Linked DNA regions of Drosophila melanogaster. The protein of the gene in region 1 purifies or fractionates together with the protein of each later gene. This does not show direct contact. Each region holds a gene or a part of one and is shown in the gene's direction. Other genes may lie near its edges. The genes, in order: msl-3, Clamp, upSET and JIL-1.

Region 1 (4,522 bases):
TCTCAGGATCTTAACCACGATACCACCAGATTGAGTAACGAGCGTGAGGACGTGATCCTCCATGCCCATTCGTCCGTACAGCATGGCATCCACCGTCTCCTCGAGAACAAACTCGTCGACGAGGTAGCGCTGCAAATAAAACTTGACCACTCCTCCTCTAAGGGCAATGGCCACCAGGGTGAGTCCCAGATGGGTCAAGGGCAGCGGTAGGAGGCAAACGGGTAGATCGGACATGGGCACCTGGTATAACAGCTTGCCCCGCTTTGAGTAGCACAGATAGCGATTGTCCATGGTGGAGGCGATTATCGTCTGATCGATGGGCAGCAGTAGGAGGCCGGTTAGGGGGATGCCGAGCTTGAAGATCTCCTGTCCCTCCGATTGGCTTTTCCGCAGGAGGTAGACACCGCCATTTCGCGTGGCCACCACGATGCAGAAATCCGTCTCAAAGGTTCCCTGCACGGAGATCAGGCTCGGCACGGCCGTCTCATCATCGCAGGCCTTGCCCTGGTAAACCAAATTGAAGCCCTGCGGCTCCAGGATCATGATGTGCCCGGTATCGGTGGCCAGGACCAAGTGGGACGGGGGATTGGCATCGCTGGAGATGCGCTTTATGCAGCACATGGCCACAATGTTGCCAACCCGACCCACTGGGGAGTCCTTGTGCGTGGCAATGAAGTGCTCCCGCTCCTGCTCGCCCATTTGCAGAAGTCGCTGCGATTTCCGCGACAGCTTGGAGTGGTCTATGGTTTTTAGGGAGTCAAGCAGGGCGGGATGGGCACTTGGCTTCACAACCGGCAGTTTTCGCCATACCTCCAGCTCCAGATCCTCGGAGTCCTGTGCGGGAATCGTGTACTTGAAGTATGGCTTTAGGTGACGATAGAAGAGCACTGACTCAGCGATGGCCACGGCAATTACTGGAAAATTGTATTCATTATGGAATCTAATTTAAAAATATTAAAATGCAACGTTATTTCTACCCGGCGTCTTGGGCTCCGTTTCGTCGATGTAGAGACTTTCAATGGCCGCTGGAATCCCCGGCAGTGGCTGCTCGTGCTTGAGTTTAAGACCACGGAAAACCTTCAGCGTGGCAGTGGGCTCCTCGGCGGCATTGTCCAGTGAAATGTCCGCCGCCAGCAGCCGGACATATCCGTCGCACTGCACGTCGCTCAGGGCCATGCAACTGGTGAGGGTGGTGAGATGCGGTGGAGGAGCCTCCTCCGCCGTGTCCACGTGAAGCCAGTTGGGAGCACCGGCCATGGCAGGATCTTGGTGAAAAATTTGCAGCACAGTGTGAAAACGAACAGGTGATTCAGGACATGCTTTTGTTTTGGTTTTTCTTGTCCTTAGCAACCGGGATGACAGCACATTTTTTGTTACTTATTTGGGTTTTTTCTTAAAAACACAAAATGATCGTCAGCATTATTCTTAAATGCTAACAGGGTAAAGCTACGTATAACTAAAAAATCATTTGGCAAAAGGTAAAACTGTGATCAAATTACTGATGATAGAAAATTTTATTTAAATTGGCCGCCAAAAATGCATTTTGTCTGGTCACACTTAAGGCCGGCCTGCTAAAGACGTGCAAGCATCGACAGTATGTGTTATCGATAAGTGCGAGGGAATATTCGATACCCACGTCAATTGCTTATCGCAAAAAACATTCGTTATAAATATCATCTCAGCGACGCCAGCAGTTGAATTCAATATTTAACATTTTGTATACATAAGTGACTGACTACGGCCCTATTTAACTGCAAGTAATGACGGAGCTAAGGGACGAGACACCGCTCTTTCACAAGGGCGAGATAGTCCTTTGCTACGAGCCGGATAAATCGAAGGCCCGTGTTCTTTACACCAGCAAGGTAAATACACATGCACACACACACACACGCGCGCGCATTGAAATGTCAAGCAAACGTCGTAGGCGAAGTTTTCACAAATGATTTTCCGTTTCCCGCAATTTTCCGTACATGCCGCAGGTGCTAAACGTCTTTGAGCGCCGGAACGAGCATGGCCTGAGGTTCTACGAGTACAAGATTCACTTCCAGGGCTGGCGTCCATCCTACGATCGCTGTGTGCGCGCCACCGTTCTATTGAAAGACACCGAGGAGAATCGCCAGTTGCAAAGGGAGCTGGCCGAAGCTGCCAAGCTGCAAATGTAAGATAACCCCCTAGACATGCGTGGAATACCTCTCTAACGAGTTCCCCCTTCTTTTTCGCACAGTCGTGGTGACTACTCCTACAAGGGCACACCCGATAAGCCATCGGCCAAGAAGAAACGCGGCGGAAAAGCGGCCCACGTTGAGGAGCCAATAGTGGTTCCAATGGACACGGGACATCTTGAGGCGGAGCACGAAATGGCGCCCACTCCACGAGCAGCGGGCAACCGGACGCGGGACAACAGCGGTGGCAAGCGAAAGGAAAAACCCCCGTCCGGAGATGGCCGATTAAAGGGAAACCGGGGCAGACAAACAGAGACCTTTTATAACAATGCCATAAATGATGTATCGGTCTATAACCATGTGCCACAGGAGGATCGCATTATGATGCGAGTCAGCGAGCGATTGCGAGAGCTTATAGAGTACGATCGGAATATGATCAAGGTACTAGGCAAACAGCACGCACTGCCCGCCCGCGTGCCCATCGTGACCATCATGGAAAACTTCGTCAAGCAGCAGGCCGTGGAGCTAGCCATTAGCATTAAACAGGACAGCTCGAGGGCCAGGAACACGCAGAGTCGCAATGCCAGAATGGAGCGGGAATACGATCGCGTTATGTCCACGTTGGTTACCACTCAATATCAGACTTAACAACCCACTTATACTCTTACTTATTAACAGTGTCTGCATGCTGAAGGAGGTGGTAGACGGATTGCGTATCTACTTTGAGTTCCACGTGGATGACCACTTGCTGTATACGGAGGAGAAGGAGTATGTCCACAACTACCTCACAGACGACAACATGCGCAACTGCAGCCTAATATTGAACAAGTCGTACGAGTATATCAATCCCAGCGGTGACACGGAACTGATCGGTCTGGACGGCACGCCAGTGGTAGAAGGGTCGGGCGACACCAATGGACAGATCGGAGTTATTAATATCGGCGGTCCGGAGTACGAGAAGCAGTTGCAAAAATGCCTGCTCTACATTGTTACCGCCAGCGGGAAAAACACTGCGCAGGCCTATGAGAGGACTTCCCCATATACGGCTGCCTACAAACTGCCCGTGGAGATGCGTGGATTTCTGAACGAAACATTCAAGTGGCGGCTTTTGTCAGCGGAATCGCCGCCAGAAAAGTCCATGGTCTTTGGCGCTCCCCACCTGGTTAGGCTAATGAGTATGTACAATCTTTCTTGCATTCTATAACACACATTAATTCATGGTACTTGCAGTTAAAATGCCCATGTTCTTAAACGCATCGCCGATCAGCAACAAGAAGCTAGAAGATCTACTTCCCCACCTCGACGCCTTCATCAAGTAAGTCTAAGACCCCTCCCTAGTCCATCACGAAGCTAATCTGTTGGTTTTTCAGCTACTTGGAGAACCACAGGGAGTGGTTCGACAGGGAAAACTTTGTTAACTCCACTGCCCTGCCCCAGGAAGATCTGCAGCGGGAGCTGTTGGACTCCCTGGATGGGATTGCTGCTTAGCTTTAGTTGATCGTAGTTATCTAGTTTATTTATTATTACGATTAAAGCTTATGCTCTTTTATTTAAAGATTTGTAATTGTCGTTTTGGTTTCTTCAACTACACACTTTGTAAACAACGCACTTCTATAAAAAAGTTTCCTAATGTGATCGTATAATCGAATAATGCCTATAACTATATATGTTAAATATTGAAAATACGATTTTAACATTTTTTTTTGTTTTTTTTTTTTTTTTTGCTTAACCTAAGTTTTAGTTGAGTAGTACATGCTAGTATTTTTGTCATGCCTTGTTTTTTGTGCTCAAATATATTTAAGAGTTGGAAAGTTGTTGTCTTTTGTATTAAGGATTTGCGGACCTTGAGTTGGAATGTGCAGGGAATTCTTAAGATTTGTATAATTTCTCAAAATATTGCAACTGTAACAACTATGTGTGTGCTGATTTGTGTTTCAGATCCTGCTTAGAAATTCGAAATTGTCGCTTGGACGGCTTGGAGTTGGATGCATTCGCGTTTGTAACATGTGTAAACTTGGGACGTTAACTTGGACGATGACTGAACTGGACTGGACTGCCGGCCCTCACTTCTGTCGCTTGGTGGCACTGCTGGCCGTGGGTCGCATGAAGCTGCTCACGGATCGACTGCTGCTAGTGCTCCTCTGCTGCGGACTGGGGTTCGCACTCATCCTGGCCTGCTGCTGCTGGTTCAGGGCATTTTTCACCAGCACCACGCTGCGAGCGGCGCTCATTCGGGACTGTGACTGGGGTTGGGACTGGGACTGGTTTTCCTTAAAACTGGTGCTACCATGGATACTCGATTTCGGAGCCGTGTTGGACATCTTGCTGCGCACCAAGATCACACTGGGTCCCACACTCGA
Region 2 (5,919 bases), on another chromosome or scaffold:
TCCATGAATTTCATTACTCTTAACTCATTCTTAACATAACGGTTCAAAAACATAATTTCGGTTACATTCAAATACTGCGTTAGATCTACTCAATCTCCGACATACATATGTATATTAAGCCGATATAAAACACATGCGGTTTGAACACAGAATAAAAGCGGGAAAGATATATATCTTAATGTAAACACATAATTAATTTCTAATTTCTTTTACATCACAAGCAGCTAAACAGATATACATATATTTCATTTAAGTTCTATTACCACCAAATTATTTTTAAATAAGAGAGAACGCTTAAGCAAATTTGTTGGACATTGAGATACCGTTTACACAGCCAGAAGGAATGCAAAATATAAACAATGAAAACAAAAAGTTTTGGGTGTTGAATTGGTCGTGGCGAAATAGTTCAAGCATATCAATACAAATTATCAAGAAAAACAACTTAATTTTTTAAGATAAAGAACTTTTCAAAAGTATACGAACAGAAGGATTGGTAGCCGAAGACAAGAATATAAGCACGTTATAATGCCCGAAACGCTTCCTTCCGTTCCTTCTGACATAATTTTTTCCAAAACCATACACATAATCGTTCGAAATCACTACCATAAAACTTGTCTTTTCATTCCTCAAAAATAGCTAATAAATAAGCTTACTATCTCAAGACATTCCCTTAAATGCTGTTGTCATAAAAAACATTTGACCACGTTGGTTGCCTTGCCAACACTAATAAATTTTTGAATTTGGGCGCCGAGAGTATTTAAATCTTTTGGAAGCTGAAATTTTCCAACACCAAACAGGACTCGCAGAACTTTGTTCATCCAGGATCTTAAGCTCAAAACCAAAACGTATGCGAATTAAAATTGCTGCTATTTAATTATTTAAAAGAATAGTTTTTATTTTTTATTAATTAATATTTATTCGGCGACAGACTTCCTCACTTATACTATTACAAGACACTTTATTACTAGCTTATCTTTGATTTGAAGCTGTTCACGATCTCGTCCCGACTCAGACTGATCTTCTAAATCTTAATCCTAATCCACTCAACCTCGGCCAGAAGCTTTTCTTTAGGATTCTCTTAAGCTTTTTAATATGTTTAGGATAAAAGCTTTACACTGAAATTATTTCCCAGCATTGTGAAATTCAAATTTGCTGACTGACGCAGTTTGACTGAAGCGCAATAAGTTGACCATGGCTTGGTCTCCAAGTGGAAGTTGTGTTTACTTTAAGTTTGGTTATATATCGGGTGGCTAAGTGTTGGCGTCAAAAACAAGGGCAAAGGCAACGCTGCTGAGATTGGAGTTAGAAATTTGTTTAGCTTTTGGTAGAGTGCTATATTTATGGGTTGGATAACTTGCGTCACTACGTGGGGCATAAAAAATCTGTTGTCCCTTAACTCACTCCCCTACATCGAGTGATAAAGATAAATAGGAATTCCTAAAAGATTTAAGTATACAAAAATAAGTACGTTTTATATGGAATCTTTAAGAATTAGTTAAAAGTCGAGTGCCTGTAAAATTTCGTTATCTTATGGAATTTGTTATCAACCATGGCCCATGATCTTACCAAAGACACTAGAATATTCTAGTGTCTTTGCTCTTACAGTGTTACCTTAGCTTGTAGAATATTAAAAGTTAAGTCTCAATAAATTTAAAACGTGTTTTTAACGCAGCTCAGCACAAGATATTTCTTTTCGAAAGCTAGTAACAGCCAGATTCTACTGATCGTAGCGTTTGCCTTTTGAGTAAGAGACAACATGTAAGACAACATGTGATGTAATCCAAATTACGAAGTACAAAACGTATATAAAAATATTTATGTTTTCTGAGTTATCGAATTAGTGTAAAAGGGCTCTAAGAAATCCTACCAGTTCTTTGTGAATTTTGGTATATTTTCGAGGGAAATGATTATTTTCATGAGTCGTGAAACGGTCACACTTTTAAAAAGTAAAACTGCTGCTCGTCTGCTCTATCTCTGAGCGTTGTTCTGTCTCCATCTCTCTTTAGCAATCGTAAAAAATGATGGACTGAAAGTTAAAGTGCTGGAATTTGTTAGAAAAAGATAACACTATTTAAATATATATCTTGTATTATTCCAAACAATATATCGTTAAAATACGTTATCAATTCACGAATACAATTTTACACCACTCAAATCTTAACAATTTTATTGTGGAGCAGGCAGTGCGCAATTTATGGTGTGGTCCGGTTGCGTAAAAGGTAATTTTAATAATGAAAAAAATAACACATGTAGTGTAATATTGTATGATAAAAAAACAAATGTGCTAGACTCCAGTTTAGATACTAGAGTCTGTTAATGTAAAGAGCTGCTGCATTAAACGTTCGTCTGTGTATGTTTTGTGTCGCGTATGTACATATTTTTTGTCTCACCGTCGCCATTTTTAATCAGTCGTTTTCGCTGGGTTCCTATGGCACTATATTCATCTCTTTTTCTCTTTTATAGAATTAGCGTCGCGTGATGCAGTGTTGAAAAGCGCGACAGAGCTGCAGTAAATAAAAGGCCAACGTATGATAAAAGTTAATTTTTGAGCATACTCGAATTTTGGGGACCATGGAAGACCTTACCAAAAACATTATCTTCACAAATGCCATTAATGGGCAACCGGCCACAATTCAATACCAGACGGCGGATGGCACCATTCTTAAACAGCCCAAAATAGAGGGCCAAAAAACGGAGCAGCAGCCTACCTTCTATTACACGACAAATGTAAGTAGTTTACTTACTATATGTTATTGGTGCTGACTTTTCATATTGTCTTCACATAGGGCAATGGCGGTACCGTCAATCTCGCACAGCTGGCCACCACAGACGACAATAAGACGTGTTATATAGCCCAGCCCGTGGGCGGATACAATTACGCCCTGGTCAACGGAATGCCTCTCAATCAGGGTGCAGCTCTTGGCATCGCCACGGTAGACGCACAAGGCCGCATCCAGATTGTCAATCAAAATAAGCCAATTGCAGCTGTATGTAAAAGGAAGACTCGTTAAGCAAAGCCTAAAGATTTTCTTCTTTGCAGAACACCATATCCAACATAAGCTTTAAGTGTGACGTATGTTCAGATATGTTCCCTCATTTGGCACTTCTTAATGCTCATAAGCGGATGCATACAGACGGGGAACAGCAGCAACAACAGCAACATAACGCCCAAGCGGGCGGCGATTCTATTGCCGTGGTCAGCGCGCAGGGGCTTGTGCAGGCACAGAACATTATTGGAAATGGTCAGATGGGCCAGATACAGATTGTGTCTTCTGACACGCTGGAGCCGGTTCAGCAATCTGTAATGCAGCAGCAGCAACATGAGTCAAAGGCAAGCAAGTGCATAAATTGTGGAAGCTCTATGCTGCAGCAGTCCAAACGCAAAGGTCCAAAGCAGGTGCGCTGCGAGTCCTGCATGCAGGCTGAACAAACAGCGCAACAACAACAGCAGCTCTTCGTCGCCCAAGACGGTAGTTGTGAAAGATTACATTCTAAATGGACCATAACTAACTTCATCGCATCTTTTGCAGGTCAAATGGCGCATCCCGTGCAAATCATATCAACGACTCCTCAGGCCCAAGCACAACTTCAGCAAATTGTGGCTGCACAGACTGGCGGTACAACGCCAAAGCGAGAGGCGAGCAGTGGGTCTGGCCATCATCCTGTGAAAAAACGAAATTCCCAGCAGATGACCAAATGCCAGAAATGCAATGGCTCCGGCGTGGTGCTAGTGGGGCAGCACTCCCATGCTTCACACAGCGGGGTGGGCGGATCGGTAAAGCAATCAGTTACTGTTAAAACTGAGTGAGTATAACATGAAATTGCAACCTTATCCTACGCTAACAAAACCAAGGTGTTTGTCCTGCAGAAATCCGTCCAAACCCTTCAGTTGTAATATATGTGGTGGTCTGTTTTCACGTTACTCAAGTCTGTGGTCCCATAAAAAGCTGCACAGCGGTGAAAAAAACTACAAGTGCAGCATCTGTGGATTGGCCTTTGCTAAAGCCGTATATTTGAAAAACCACGCGCGCATTCATACAGGCGAGAAACCCTATAAGTAATACCAATCTTCTACTTGAAATTATACTCTTTATACTAATTACCGTTATCTTTACATAGATGCCAAACCTGCGGCATGCAGTTTTCACAGTCACCACACCTCAAGAACCATGAACGCACGCACAGTGGCGAGCGGCCCTATGTGTGCGGTGTTTGCGACAAAGGATTTGCGCGCCACGCTACTCTTTGGAATCATAGGCGCATTCACACGGGCGAAAAGCCATACAAGTGTGAAATTTGTGGATCGGCCTTTTCTCAGGCGGCGCACCTTAAGAACCACGCAAAGGTGCACTCCGGAGAAAAACCCTACAAGTGCGAGATTTGCTCTGCAGCATTCGCTGATCGTTTTGCACTCAAGCGTCACCGCGGCATACACCAAAAGTACGGCCAAACTGCTCCTCGCCAGACCAGCAGCGATGGGATGATAGTGCATAAGCAGGAGATTCCTGACATGGAGGATGAGGCCCAACAGGAAGTGATTATCGGTGGGTTATAGATAGTTTAAATGCAGAGGTGACAGGCAGCTTAATGAAGTCACAGACACTGGAGTCCACCCTGCTTAGCTTCAGTTTATCGAGCGTTACTATGATCATCTGCCTCCACCTATGCTAGCCCCAGAACCATCTCTAAGGGCGCATATATCACCACAATGATATTAAAGAATAGAAAACGATGTTCCATCGTTAACACTTCAGCTGCATATGTCCTTTCTCCACTTTCATGTGGGATCTTCAAAAATGGGCGAAACCCAAAAACGCTTTTTACGATAAGCATACAAATGAACCTAATTTATTTGATAGCTTGTATAATATACTTAAACATCTTTAAACATTAAACGCATATATGTATAGGCATCGTATTTATAAGTGTTATAGGCTATTCTCTTATACAAATTGTAGGTGTAAAATATGGATTTATTAGGTGACGATACGAGCAAATCCGATACGTATGAATATGCACAGGTAATAAACACACACATATAAGTTGAAAGTTGTAAGCTTAAATATATTTTAATTAAATCTATCTAATATAAGTATGTATTAAATAATGCATAAAATCAAATAAATATTTGAATAAAATACAATTTTTTACTAACCTACTCCATTTGCAAGTGCCTTAACGAAGAATAGAGGGATCCCAGAAATAGGCACATTTTCCACCGTTTTCGACGTCTTATGCGTTTTTTTTTTATTAATGTAAGCACCATTTCACTTTAAATATAATTTTTTTAGTGTTTTGCCACGTTCATCTTATTCTTACGTGAAGCTATAAGGTCAGTAAATTTTAATGTTGGCAATAATATAATTAATAAATACACAAAACTTTAAATATTCATAGACGTAAAAGAGTAAAATAAAGTTAAAATTTATCGAAAATTAGATGATGTGAATTACTGCTGTCTTTTCAAAAAAATTAGAGCTGTTGATTTGTAAAATGGACGCACTCTTTTAAACTTCTTATATTTATATTTTTGCGTATTATCTGTTAAAAATAAAATATTTTTACATATTTAAAGTAAAGTTGTGAAGTGGCAACGAATTTTTTACAATAATCAAAACCAAGTGTTTAAGAATTAGGATTCATGGCTTGTATAATAAAGCTTTAAATTACTAGAATTCGCCATCAGTTAAATCAAGATAAATACGTATACGTATACATTTGCGAACATGGACTTTGCTTAGGGTCCATTTTTGAATTTGCGGTCATTACAAACTTATATTCATATGTATATAGGATTATTCAAGAATGAATACATTTTAGTTACACGGGATTGTAGTTTTGTTTCTTTTAATGTCAACTGGTTTGCATGCACTATGCAATCATGATTATATAGGAAGATCTGTGTCTGTGGTTGGTCCA
Region 3 (5,034 bases), 6.9 Mb from region 1:
CTCGGACGCCTCACGACGATGTCCGCCCACCAATACCGCTGGCACTGGCAACGGATGACTGGACATGCTAAGCATGGAGCCATGCAACTCGTCCGCATCTGGTTCTTGGTCTCCTTCTTCATCGCTAATGGCATCCCTTAGATGGTTGCTGCAGGAGGCCGAATCTCCGAATTCATCCTCGCTGGGCATAAACTGAACGTACGTGTGCAACTGCATGAGCAAATGGTGCTGCAGCATCCAAATCACCATTTGTGCGAGGATACCCTGTCGCGCTGGCTGCTGCAGTGGCGTGGTTAAGTGTCCAATTGAAGTGGGCAATGAAAAATCGGAGATCACCTCGAACAGCGACATACCGGCAAAACGGGCCGAGAACTTCTCCACCAGGTGGGACTTGGTGTGCAATGGTGCATCCGGCGCGATCACATAGACATTTGTCTCGCAGAGTGGATAAATAATAGTTGCCTTAGCCCAGTAGACCAAATGCGAGACGAGCTTATAAACATGCTCGATACTCAAGTCTGCATTGGAGGACATGCTCTGCAGACTGATCAGTGGGTCGTAGACGTCGACTAGCTGCCATAGCATGCGTGCCCCAGTCGGTGGAACGCAGTCCAACAATTCGGCAAAGTCGACCAGCAGCAACATGCCATGATAGGGCTTCAGTGCACGAAGGCACCGATCTATGGTCTCTGGATCCACCATGCTGCCCTTCTTATGGAGCTGGTGTGCCTTAGCGGGCAGACAGAAGCACAACGTTAGGTTGTGATTCAGCGAGGTACTCAGCAGTCCAGTGGTGCATAGATCATGGAAGATGGAGCGCAAGGCCTGTGCCAAGCTGCAGCGCTCTGCAATCAGCTCCAGTGTGCGTTCCAGCGGCTGTTGCTGCTGCTCGTCGTGTGTGCGAGCCATTTGAGCCGTCTGCTCGGTGAGATAGCCACTGCGCTGCTCCTCGAACTTCAGCGCCAGTCCAAGGCGCTTGCTCAGTTCGTGGTAGCACTTAACAATCGAGTAGCTGGCCTGTGCATGCAGCGCAAAAACAATGTTGATGAGCATCTGTTGCTTGGCCATTGGACCACTTCTCTGCTCCTTTTGCGGTATCAGAGTGGGATGACTGACAAAGCGTACGTCGTTCAGTTTGAGTTCAAACTTTTGGTTGCATAGCTGTGGTTTAACAGCAAACAGAGCGGACAGGACCTCATCTGCGAATCCCTGCAGTTGTCCTTGGCTCTTGGCAGCACCCAAGTGGGTGGGTGTCTGCAGCAGATCGTCCGTATTGGCCACGGCATAGGGATTGCGCTTTCTGTGATTGAATAAATCGGTATAGTCAAGCTGAGTGCCCTTTGAATTAATAGGTAGTACCTGGACTTCCGCTGCTCGTCGTTGGCCACCTCCGTTTGGCCGAGAGTCTGGTACGGATACCTGTACAGTAACCGATCCCCCTTGCTATCGAAGTAAACCAGGATTACGGCCAGGGGATTCACATTAGTTTCCATGGCACACAGACACTTCCCCTTTTATGTAAATTAAAATATGAACATTTGCATTATCAACTGGGGTCAGGGTCAACAAATAGTTGGCTATGTTTTCAAAAATACTTTATAAATCGTAGTTTGCTACAGAAACTACCTCAACAACTCTTTATTTATTTATTAGTACCTCAATTTGACTTCATTGAGAAATGGAAGCAAAGTAAATAAATGTAAAATATAAAATATATTTACAGCAGTGTGGCTCTCTTTTAGTTTGCATAAAATACCAAAAACTTATTTAAAATAGTAGTCATGTCAGTTTTCATTTTGCAGGCGAAACAATAATATAAATGCAACGCAATGGAATTTTTTTAAATCGTTTAAATTTACCATAGATACCTTAGATAATATATTCAAAAACTAAAAAATACTAAACGAAAAACGGTCTTACTATATAAATAAATATATATCGGCAAGGCTAATAGTATAGGATCCCTGGTCGAGCGATAACGATCTATCGCTCCGCTGTAGTGTGACCGTCTTCGGTTGGTCAGTCTCTAATTTTTTAGAAGCGGAAAGTTGTGAGCAAAACGTGTGGAAATTGTGCTCGAAACGTCAACAAAAAATTTGTGAAAATAACTGGGAGCGTAGTATGCGAACGCGGCAATCGCAGAACTATGAAATTCCCCTGTGAAACATGTTAGTTTGGCTGTAAAAGCACTTTTAAAAATGACGATTTCTTATTAGCGTGTTGGAAAAGAGGAAAACACACACATTGTGAGAGGCAAAATACGTGCGGATCGTAGGTGGGAGCGAGACGACGCTAAACGTGTACTAGCCGCGGTCTATATATACATATATATAATATTTGTGTGAGTGTAGGAGAGGTATAACTAATTCTACAAAAAAATATAGTTTACTTGGCTGAGTGGTTCGCTTCTGAATTAGTTTCGCACTCTTCGGCAGTATGGTGGCCAATAAGTTAATTTCAACTAATTGTCATTTACTTGTAGGTTTGTTTTTCTACTATGTCTTCGTTTCTGTATCTATTCCTTGTATTTTGGAAAATAGGATTAATAAGTGCCTAAAATGTAAATAGCTTGTGGTTAAATAGTTAATAACATAACTATTTTACTTTTTGTGTATATGTGCGCCAACATCCGTGTGTATAGATTTTACACATACCTACGTAGAAAGGCATGCACAGATATACGTTTGTGTGGGTATCAACGAATAGGCGGAAAGGCGAAATCGAAATATGTACGTACAGCATTTCGGAATGGCCAGGCGCAGTAGTAATAGGCTAAACAGGGAAACAGCGCAACACAAAAACCAAGAAGAAGAAGCAGGGCAGGCGAACAAAATAAAATAGGCGATAATAGTCAGTTGGCATGTCTTGTCCATAGGCTAGAACGGTCACACTAGCTATATGGTCTGCTCAAACCGACTGGTCGTCTCGCTCTTACACACGTCTTAAGCAATCCCAGTTTATGTGTTTTCCTGCGCGTTTTGTCTTCTGCTTCTTGTGCCATACGGTATTAATAATAATAAAATTGATTAATCAAAGTAGAAACATTTTAATTTGTGCAGGTAGTAAACGTTCGAAACAACGTCGCGCCATCACTTAAATGCTGCAAATCAACAATGTGCAACGGAACAAAAAAGAACCAGTGTTAAAGTGTATACAAATTTAATTTGTATTTATAAAATTGAAATATAAAGTTTCGAAATAAAAAATAAACCACGTAGCTTGTCGTTAAATTAAATTAAGTTGTGCAAAATGAAGTGAAAATTCAAAATAACAGAGTAAACGGTGAGTAAAACTAGTGTGTGTGTTTGTATGTGAGTGCGCGCCCAAATCGGAAATATTTTGAATCGAAAAATATACAGTCGAATGGGTTATACATATCTATTGGATCACATATATATGAAATTCAGATTTTATTTTGAGTCGAGCCAGTTAAATAAATATTTCATTTGTTGATGCGTCGATTTTGTATGGTTTTTTTTTTTGCATACTGTGTGTCGCCATATTTGATTGCATATTCTTTTTTCAACTAACCGTCAGTATAGCGTGCTCGCTCGCACAGCTTTGCGGGTTCATTTGTTTTGCTTTCGATTCCGTTTTGTGCAACGTGAAGGTAGATGTGCGTATTATGCCCCTCGCACAGAGTTGCCAACCCGAAGCAATTGTTTTGTTAAATTTCAAGTTGTTTTTAGTTTGTTTTGCTCGAGTTTCTAAGGAGATTATCTAAATCAGTATTAAAATCATATTTCGATTTGGCACACCCCTCCGCATTTGGATTGCAATGTGTATGCCGTGCAGTGTTTTTGTTGTCTCTACCAAAATTTTGACATGCGCATCAGCTAGTCGGAAAAACTTAACAACAAATCGACCGCAAAGTGAAATTAAAGTTGATGAGAATTAGTTGAACGATATCGACGACGCCATGTTGTTCCCATTATCCAGAATGTTAGCACAGAGCTATATAGTTTTTATTTTATTTTCTTTCGCCCTGTTTTCGTCAAACTTTTTATTGCGTGCTCCAGCGTTTACACGCCTGTACGCCGTGAAGTTGGCCGCAGTTAACATAGCTAAGTGTTAGTGTGTGTGTGGGGAGAGCTATGGTGGTCTCGCTCTCGCTTACAGGCATTGCTCGAATGTTCCTGTTCTGCTCTTTGCGCATACGTGATTTTTGCAATTGTTATTTATGCCTTGTGCTTTGTACGCGCGAATTTTCGCCACAAAATGAAAGCAAAAGTTGATAGACAACTTTTTGCCTGCGCTCGGCTTTCGTTATTTTCTGCGCAGCGCAGACAAGACCATCGTCAAAATATTATTTCGCGAAAGCTAAGCCATTCGATAATTTCAAAGGTTGTCGCGGAACGAAACCAAACCGCCACAACCCCCTAAAACCACCTCCCAACCCCACAGATTTTTTTAATGGTGTAATATCCATAATAAAATCCCATGCAGTCTCAATTCTTGATTAGTAATTGACCGAATTAGACGGACCAGAACTAGCGAGCAAGTGAATTAAAATAAGACGCAATTAAAGTTGACACTTTGTAGCTGGTATGCAAAAACTAAAACCCATTTTACGCTTGGCGACTGTTTCAATGAAAGTACAGCCAAAGCAATGCCCCTGATATTGTGCAGTCACGTAGTCCATTGGTCAACAAGCTAATATGAGCAGCATTACTATTTTTAATTGTAGGTTCATTTTTATTCCGTAGATCACAATAGGAGTCTTTCTCTTTTCGACTCACTCGTTTAGATGTGTGCGTCTGCGAGCCTCGATAAGCTTTGTATTTGTTCTACTTCATCTAGCGATGCAACAAAAGCCATAGCAACAAAAAGAAATCCCCAACAAAAACGACACGAAAGCAGTGGCGGATTAAAAATCCTGCTTGCGGGGAAGCTCTCGGAATTTAAAGAAAACAGCAAACAAAACTTAATTCTTTCGATAATATTTTGTTGATATAATGAATTAGATTTTGGCGCATATGTATATCCCAAATGAACCCCCTTGGAACCGCCCCTGTACGAAAGCACCGTGGCCAC
Region 4 (4,564 bases), 4.0 Mb from region 1:
AGGTGCACAAGCGCCAATTGGTTCACCAGAAGGCCATTCCACTCAACAATACACGCCGACCGATTCCGCCGCAAAAACGAAAACCGGGTGAGCCCAATCAGATGCTTAAGAATCCAAAATGCATGTCGGATAGGAGTGCCCACGAAAAGGGACAACAGAGGATGTGCGAGCATCACAAGGGCAGCCATTGCACCTACTGCTGCCGGAACAACAACTGAAGTGGAAACCAAAACCCATCCACCAGCATCCATCGCTATCAGCAATAGCCGTGACCCACTTAACCAAGTGATAAGCCAATCCGAGCGCAAAAGCAAAGCCACTTTCTCTCCGTCGCAAAAGCAGTTACATCTTGAAGCACCATGGATGTGGACGAACTGATCAGCAGCTCCAAGCTACTCAAGCATTGGCCAAGTTTATTTATCACTCTGGCGCTGATATGGATCGTAAAAAGATTGTTTTTTAAAGGGAATCGCGTATTAAAAACATATAATTTAGATGAACAAGTCGAGGAGGAGGGTAAGTTTTAAGATTATCCACGGTGAACATAAAGCTATTCTATTCTATTTTCCAGTTGAACACTTTGCCGATCTTGGCGATGAACTGCAACCGGCTCTGGAGGATAAGCCCCATGTGCCCTTCGTTCCCGGCCAGAATCTCAACCCTAATGGAGCCAAACGCTTATATGAACTCATGCGTGGACGCCGTAGCATTCGCTCCTTTAATAGCCATCCCAAACCGGATCTCAGCGTGATAGAGGACTGCATTCGGGCGGCGGGAACAGCTCCCAGTGGCGCACACACAGAACCCTGGACGTACTGCGTCGTACAGGAGCCGGAACTCAAGCGATCCATTCGGGAAATTGTGGAACAGGAGGAGCTGGTCAACTACAGCCAGAGGATGCATCCGCAGTGGGTCACCGATCTGCGACCCCTGCAAACCAATCATGTCAAGGAGTATCTCACCGAGGCGCCGTACCTTATACTGATCTTCAAGCAGACCTATGGATTGTCGGAGAATGGAAAGCGAATGAGGAGGCATTACTACAACGAGATATCCACTTCGATTGCGGCCGGTATCCTTTTGTGTGCCCTTCAAGCGGCAGGACTCGCATCGCTGGTCACCACTCCTTTGAACTGCGGTCCAGCCTTGAGAAACCTGCTCGGGCGACCCGTCAATGAAAAATTACTCATCCTACTGCCCGTTGGTTATCCGAAAGATGGATGCACAGTTCCCGACTTGGCGAGAAAGAATTTGTCAAATATTATGGTTACTTTTTAAGGTTTATTTACGTCCGTGCAGCTTACGAAATAGTTCAATAAAACCAAACTAAAATTTATGGTAATTCTTATATTTTTTCTATTGATAAACGAAATTTTCACATTTTCCTTAAATTTATTCTTCATTATAATTGTTAATCAAAATATAATATTCTTAAATATTTGAAACGATAGTCTCCACCATCCCTGCCAACCGATATACGGCTGCTTTCCAGCACCACGCTTTTTGGCCTCTTGTCAACACTATCGATAACGATAGCTACGGTAAGTGACACAAAAGCAAAGGGAAAATTTCTACGTGCGGTTCGTGTGCTGTGTGTTGAAATTACAAATAGCCAATTATCCGGCATTAATCGTTTTAGGGCTCTCTCGATTTTAATTGTATTATATTGTACTATAATACAGATATAAACCCGATTTGATCGAGTGTAACGGAAATCGACGCGATTCCCATCAAGGTGGTCCGTACCTAATAAGTGTTCACGAATGAGAGCAAAGCAGATGGCGGAGAGCGTCCTGCGTTTCAATGTGTGTGTGCGTAAACGAGTAGAAAGCGGCGGTAAAAACCTTCTCGTGTAACACAAAACAAATTATACAAAACATTCAATCTCAATATCAAAACGTTACTGTATTGTCTATTGAAAAACAAGTACAAGCGTACGCAGGGAAATTGGAAAATCCATTGAAAATCGAGAGCAACAGTCGCCGGAGCGGAATCAGCGGACGAAAACAAAAACGCTTTAAAAACGCAGCCGATACAGAAAGTGCCAGCGTGTGAGTGTGCATATGTGTACGTAGTTGTGGGCAAAGAGAACGGTAAAGAATAAGAAATCGAAAAAAAAAAATAAAAAACTAACTGTGGAAGTGAAAAATGCGCGACTGATAAAGATTGTGATAATCACGGCATAATATAACAAGCAAAAAAGAAGAATGAAAAGAAACCGCAACCGAATTGGTTGAATAATATTTAAGCCAACGCCAGTGCTGCATAAATCGGTGCACATTATCATTGGAACGTTCAGTGTTGCACATCGCTACCGCCCCACGCATAATCCAACACTCTTCCCCCTCCCCATCCAGATCCACCCACTCACACACACACACACTCCGATTCGGATTTCTTCGTCTGCATTATAATATTGCGCTTATAATCTTTCGCGAGGTGAGTCGAACTCCCAAATAGTGTTCTATTCAGAAATGAGTTTCCCCATCCAATTGTCCGCTAACAGCGGGAAAATTACTCCCGCCTGCGTTGAAACTGTACCATATTGTGGATGAAGAAATGGGATAGAAATGGGCAATGGGCATTGGGAAGGTACGGTGAAGATTGCCTAAATAGAACACAATAAGAAACAGCTATGTTCAAAACATCTTGCGGAATAAATTTCAACAATTCAGTTATTATTTATTTAGTATTTAAAATGTGTGAACTGGAACATTTATATCGTACATGTTGTCTATGCATTGTTGAACATCCATGAATAGAAAAAACTAATTCAGTTTCTAATTAAAAATACTACAACAATAAAACAGTCTAGCTAGCCAAAATGACAACTTTATGTCAGTACTCATATAAGAATGTGTCAAAAAGTTTAATGATTGTCTACAAATTGTTAGCGATTTTCGAAAAAATGTCTTTACTTTGATTTCTGTTTTTCCAGCTCAACGATGCGCCACGATCAGTCCCTGGACCTTTTTATTTTTATTTGTTAATTCCTGGAATATCCATCGATTACGTGAGGAGCACGTAGAGCATTATTAAAGGCATAGGATCTTTTACGGAAGAATCTAGCCATGAGTCGCTTGCAAAAGCAAAACTACGAGATCTTAAGCGGTACAAGTACGTCGCGCCTCAAGAATCATCAACATCCCCGTGAATCGGAGTCACTAGCCTACGAGGAGCCAGATCAAATGGTGCGGAATCATCTAAATGGCCAGCTGGTAGCCAATGGCAATGGCAAAACGCGAAAGAATAGCAATTCCGAAACGATGACCAATGGGAAAAAGTCCAAACTGAATACGGAGGGATCCGGCTCTGGTTCTGGAAAGACCTTGAACTACAATAATAATAACAATAACAACAACAGCATCAGTGCCACCAACGGTCAGTACACCAATAGCAGCAGCAAGACCACTTCAGCATCTGCAAGGGATTACACTTACCGCGAGACCATATCACCGCCCACACCTCCATCCCCGCCCACCACAAATGTGGCGGATATTGTTTGCATATCGGATGCGGAGAGCGAGGACGGACGCGATCCCGAGCGGGAGTACTACGACCAGGACATGGAGGAGGATGAGCCGAACGGGATAGAGATCGATGAATCCAGCTCCAGCTTGTCCAAGGCCAAGTCCAACAATGCAGCTGCAGCGGCGGCGGCGGCGGCTGCAGCAGCGGCAGCAGCAGCCTCGAAGGCCTCCTCGTCGACCACGCCCTCCTACGCCATGCCCACCAGCAATAGTACACCCCTTGATCTGGACAATGAGGCCCATCAACGGGACCTGGAGGCGGTCACCGATCTGAAATACTACGGTGAGTCATTCCACTCAATGATAGTGATAAAGAAGACCGGGCCAACTGCAAGCACAAGCTAGATAAGAAAATTTGTTACAAGTTGCAGGTCAGGATGTACTTATGTTAAATATGATAGTTTAATAATTCCGTCCATATCAAATTAAACCGCAACTTCTTCCCTGTGAATATTTCATGCCATTTTAAGGCAGCTGCCACAGAGCTTATCAAACATGGTAGTGTGGTGGAATAATTGATAACTTTAACCGGGTGGATGTCTCAAGGTTTTATTGAAATGTCGGCAGAGGGTGGCTGGTCAATGCCAGATGAAGTGCCGTCTCTATCGTTCTTTGTTAAAGTGGAGCACATGCATTTAACCTTGACACGATTACCCAGAAAACTCAACCCGGCTTTGTTCGCTCTTTGGGCCAAATCCAAAACTACTGACCTCCCCTGAAATCGCCCAACCTCGCCGTACTCACCTCTCACCACACTCTACATACATATACACAAAGCAGACAGAATATCCACCACCCAAATGTCTAATTTGATAACCGTGGGTCGAAAACCTATTGTTGCTGCTTGTTATTTGTTAAATTTGACACTTTTCGGTTGCATTTTTAAATAAATATTATTTACTGAGGACATTGGTCTGGATTTTGGTGTGGAAAGTAACACCTTTTTGAAGTAAACGTTTTTGTCAAGAGGTTTTCACAACAGCTGTTTATAAATCGAATAAAATAAATCTAGATAAAAACTAAACCTTCTCTAG

Evidence for each region.
Region 2: the proteins of msl-3 (region 1) and Clamp purify together in Drosophila melanogaster (affinity purification with mass spectrometry, with the first as the bait; 2 studies listed by BioGRID). This does not show direct contact.
Region 3: the proteins of msl-3 (region 1) and upSET purify together in Drosophila melanogaster (affinity purification with mass spectrometry, with the first as the bait; 2 studies listed by BioGRID). This does not show direct contact.
Region 4: the proteins of msl-3 (region 1) and JIL-1 purify together in Drosophila melanogaster (affinity purification with western blotting; 4 studies listed by BioGRID, with this or other methods). This does not show direct contact.

The regions. Positions count from the first base shown.
Region 1 is NT_037436.4:7,122,661-7,127,182, reverse strand, and holds msl-3 (male-specific lethal 3), read left to right. Parts: upstream 1-1,649; 5' UTR 1,650-1,760; coding exon 1,761-1,862; intron 1,863-1,979; coding exon 1,980-2,158; intron 2,159-2,224; coding exon 2,225-2,782; intron 2,783-2,840; coding exon 2,841-3,337; intron 3,338-3,392; coding exon 3,393-3,477; intron 3,478-3,532; coding exon 3,533-3,650; 3' UTR 3,651-3,970; downstream 3,971-4,522. Other genes in the region: BBS1 (Bardet-Biedl syndrome 1), read right to left, coding at 1-914, 978-1,257; form3 (formin 3), read right to left, coding at 4,226-4,522. UniProt on the Drosophila melanogaster protein: Component of the male-specific lethal (MSL) histone acetyltransferase complex, a multiprotein complex essential for elevating transcription of the single X chromosome in the male (X chromosome dosage compensation).
Region 2 is NT_033779.5:22,165,188-22,171,106, reverse strand, and holds Clamp (Chromatin-linked adaptor for MSL proteins), read left to right. Parts: upstream 1-1,963; 5' UTR 1,964-2,219; intron 2,220-2,463; 5' UTR 2,464-2,571; coding exon 2,572-2,727; intron 2,728-2,786; coding exon 2,787-2,987; intron 2,988-3,040; coding exon 3,041-3,470; intron 3,471-3,530; coding exon 3,531-3,804; intron 3,805-3,853; coding exon 3,854-4,057; intron 4,058-4,119; coding exon 4,120-4,555; 3' UTR 4,556-5,387; downstream 5,388-5,919. UniProt on the Drosophila melanogaster protein: Transcription factor involved in X-chromosome dosage compensation in males, the process by which transcription of the single X chromosome in the male is elevated. Binds to the DNA sequence (GA)n.
Region 3 is NT_037436.4:14,000,134-14,005,167, forward strand, and holds the start of upSET (upSET), read left to right. Parts: upstream 1-1,993; 5' UTR 1,994-2,168; exon of another isoform or gene 2,169-2,246; intron 2,247-3,059; 5' UTR 3,060-3,282; intron 3,283-5,034. Other genes in the region: Nprl3 (nitrogen permease regulator-like 3), read right to left, coding at 1-1,300, 1,360-1,493.
Region 4 is NT_037436.4:11,090,147-11,094,710, reverse strand, and holds the start of JIL-1 (JIL-1 kinase), read left to right. Parts: upstream 1-1,517; 5' UTR 1,518-2,439; intron 2,440-2,854; exon of another isoform or gene 2,855-2,938; 5' UTR 2,939-3,071; coding exon 3,072-3,813; intron 3,814-4,564. Other genes in the region: CG46439 (uncharacterized protein), read left to right, coding at 1-218; Iyd (iodotyrosine deiodinase), read left to right, coding at 360-516, 572-1,278. UniProt on the Drosophila melanogaster protein: Phosphorylates 'Ser-10' of histone H3. May regulate gene expression by establishing or maintaining the structure of more open chromatin regions. Also required for normal polytene chromosome structure, for oogenesis and for viability throughout development.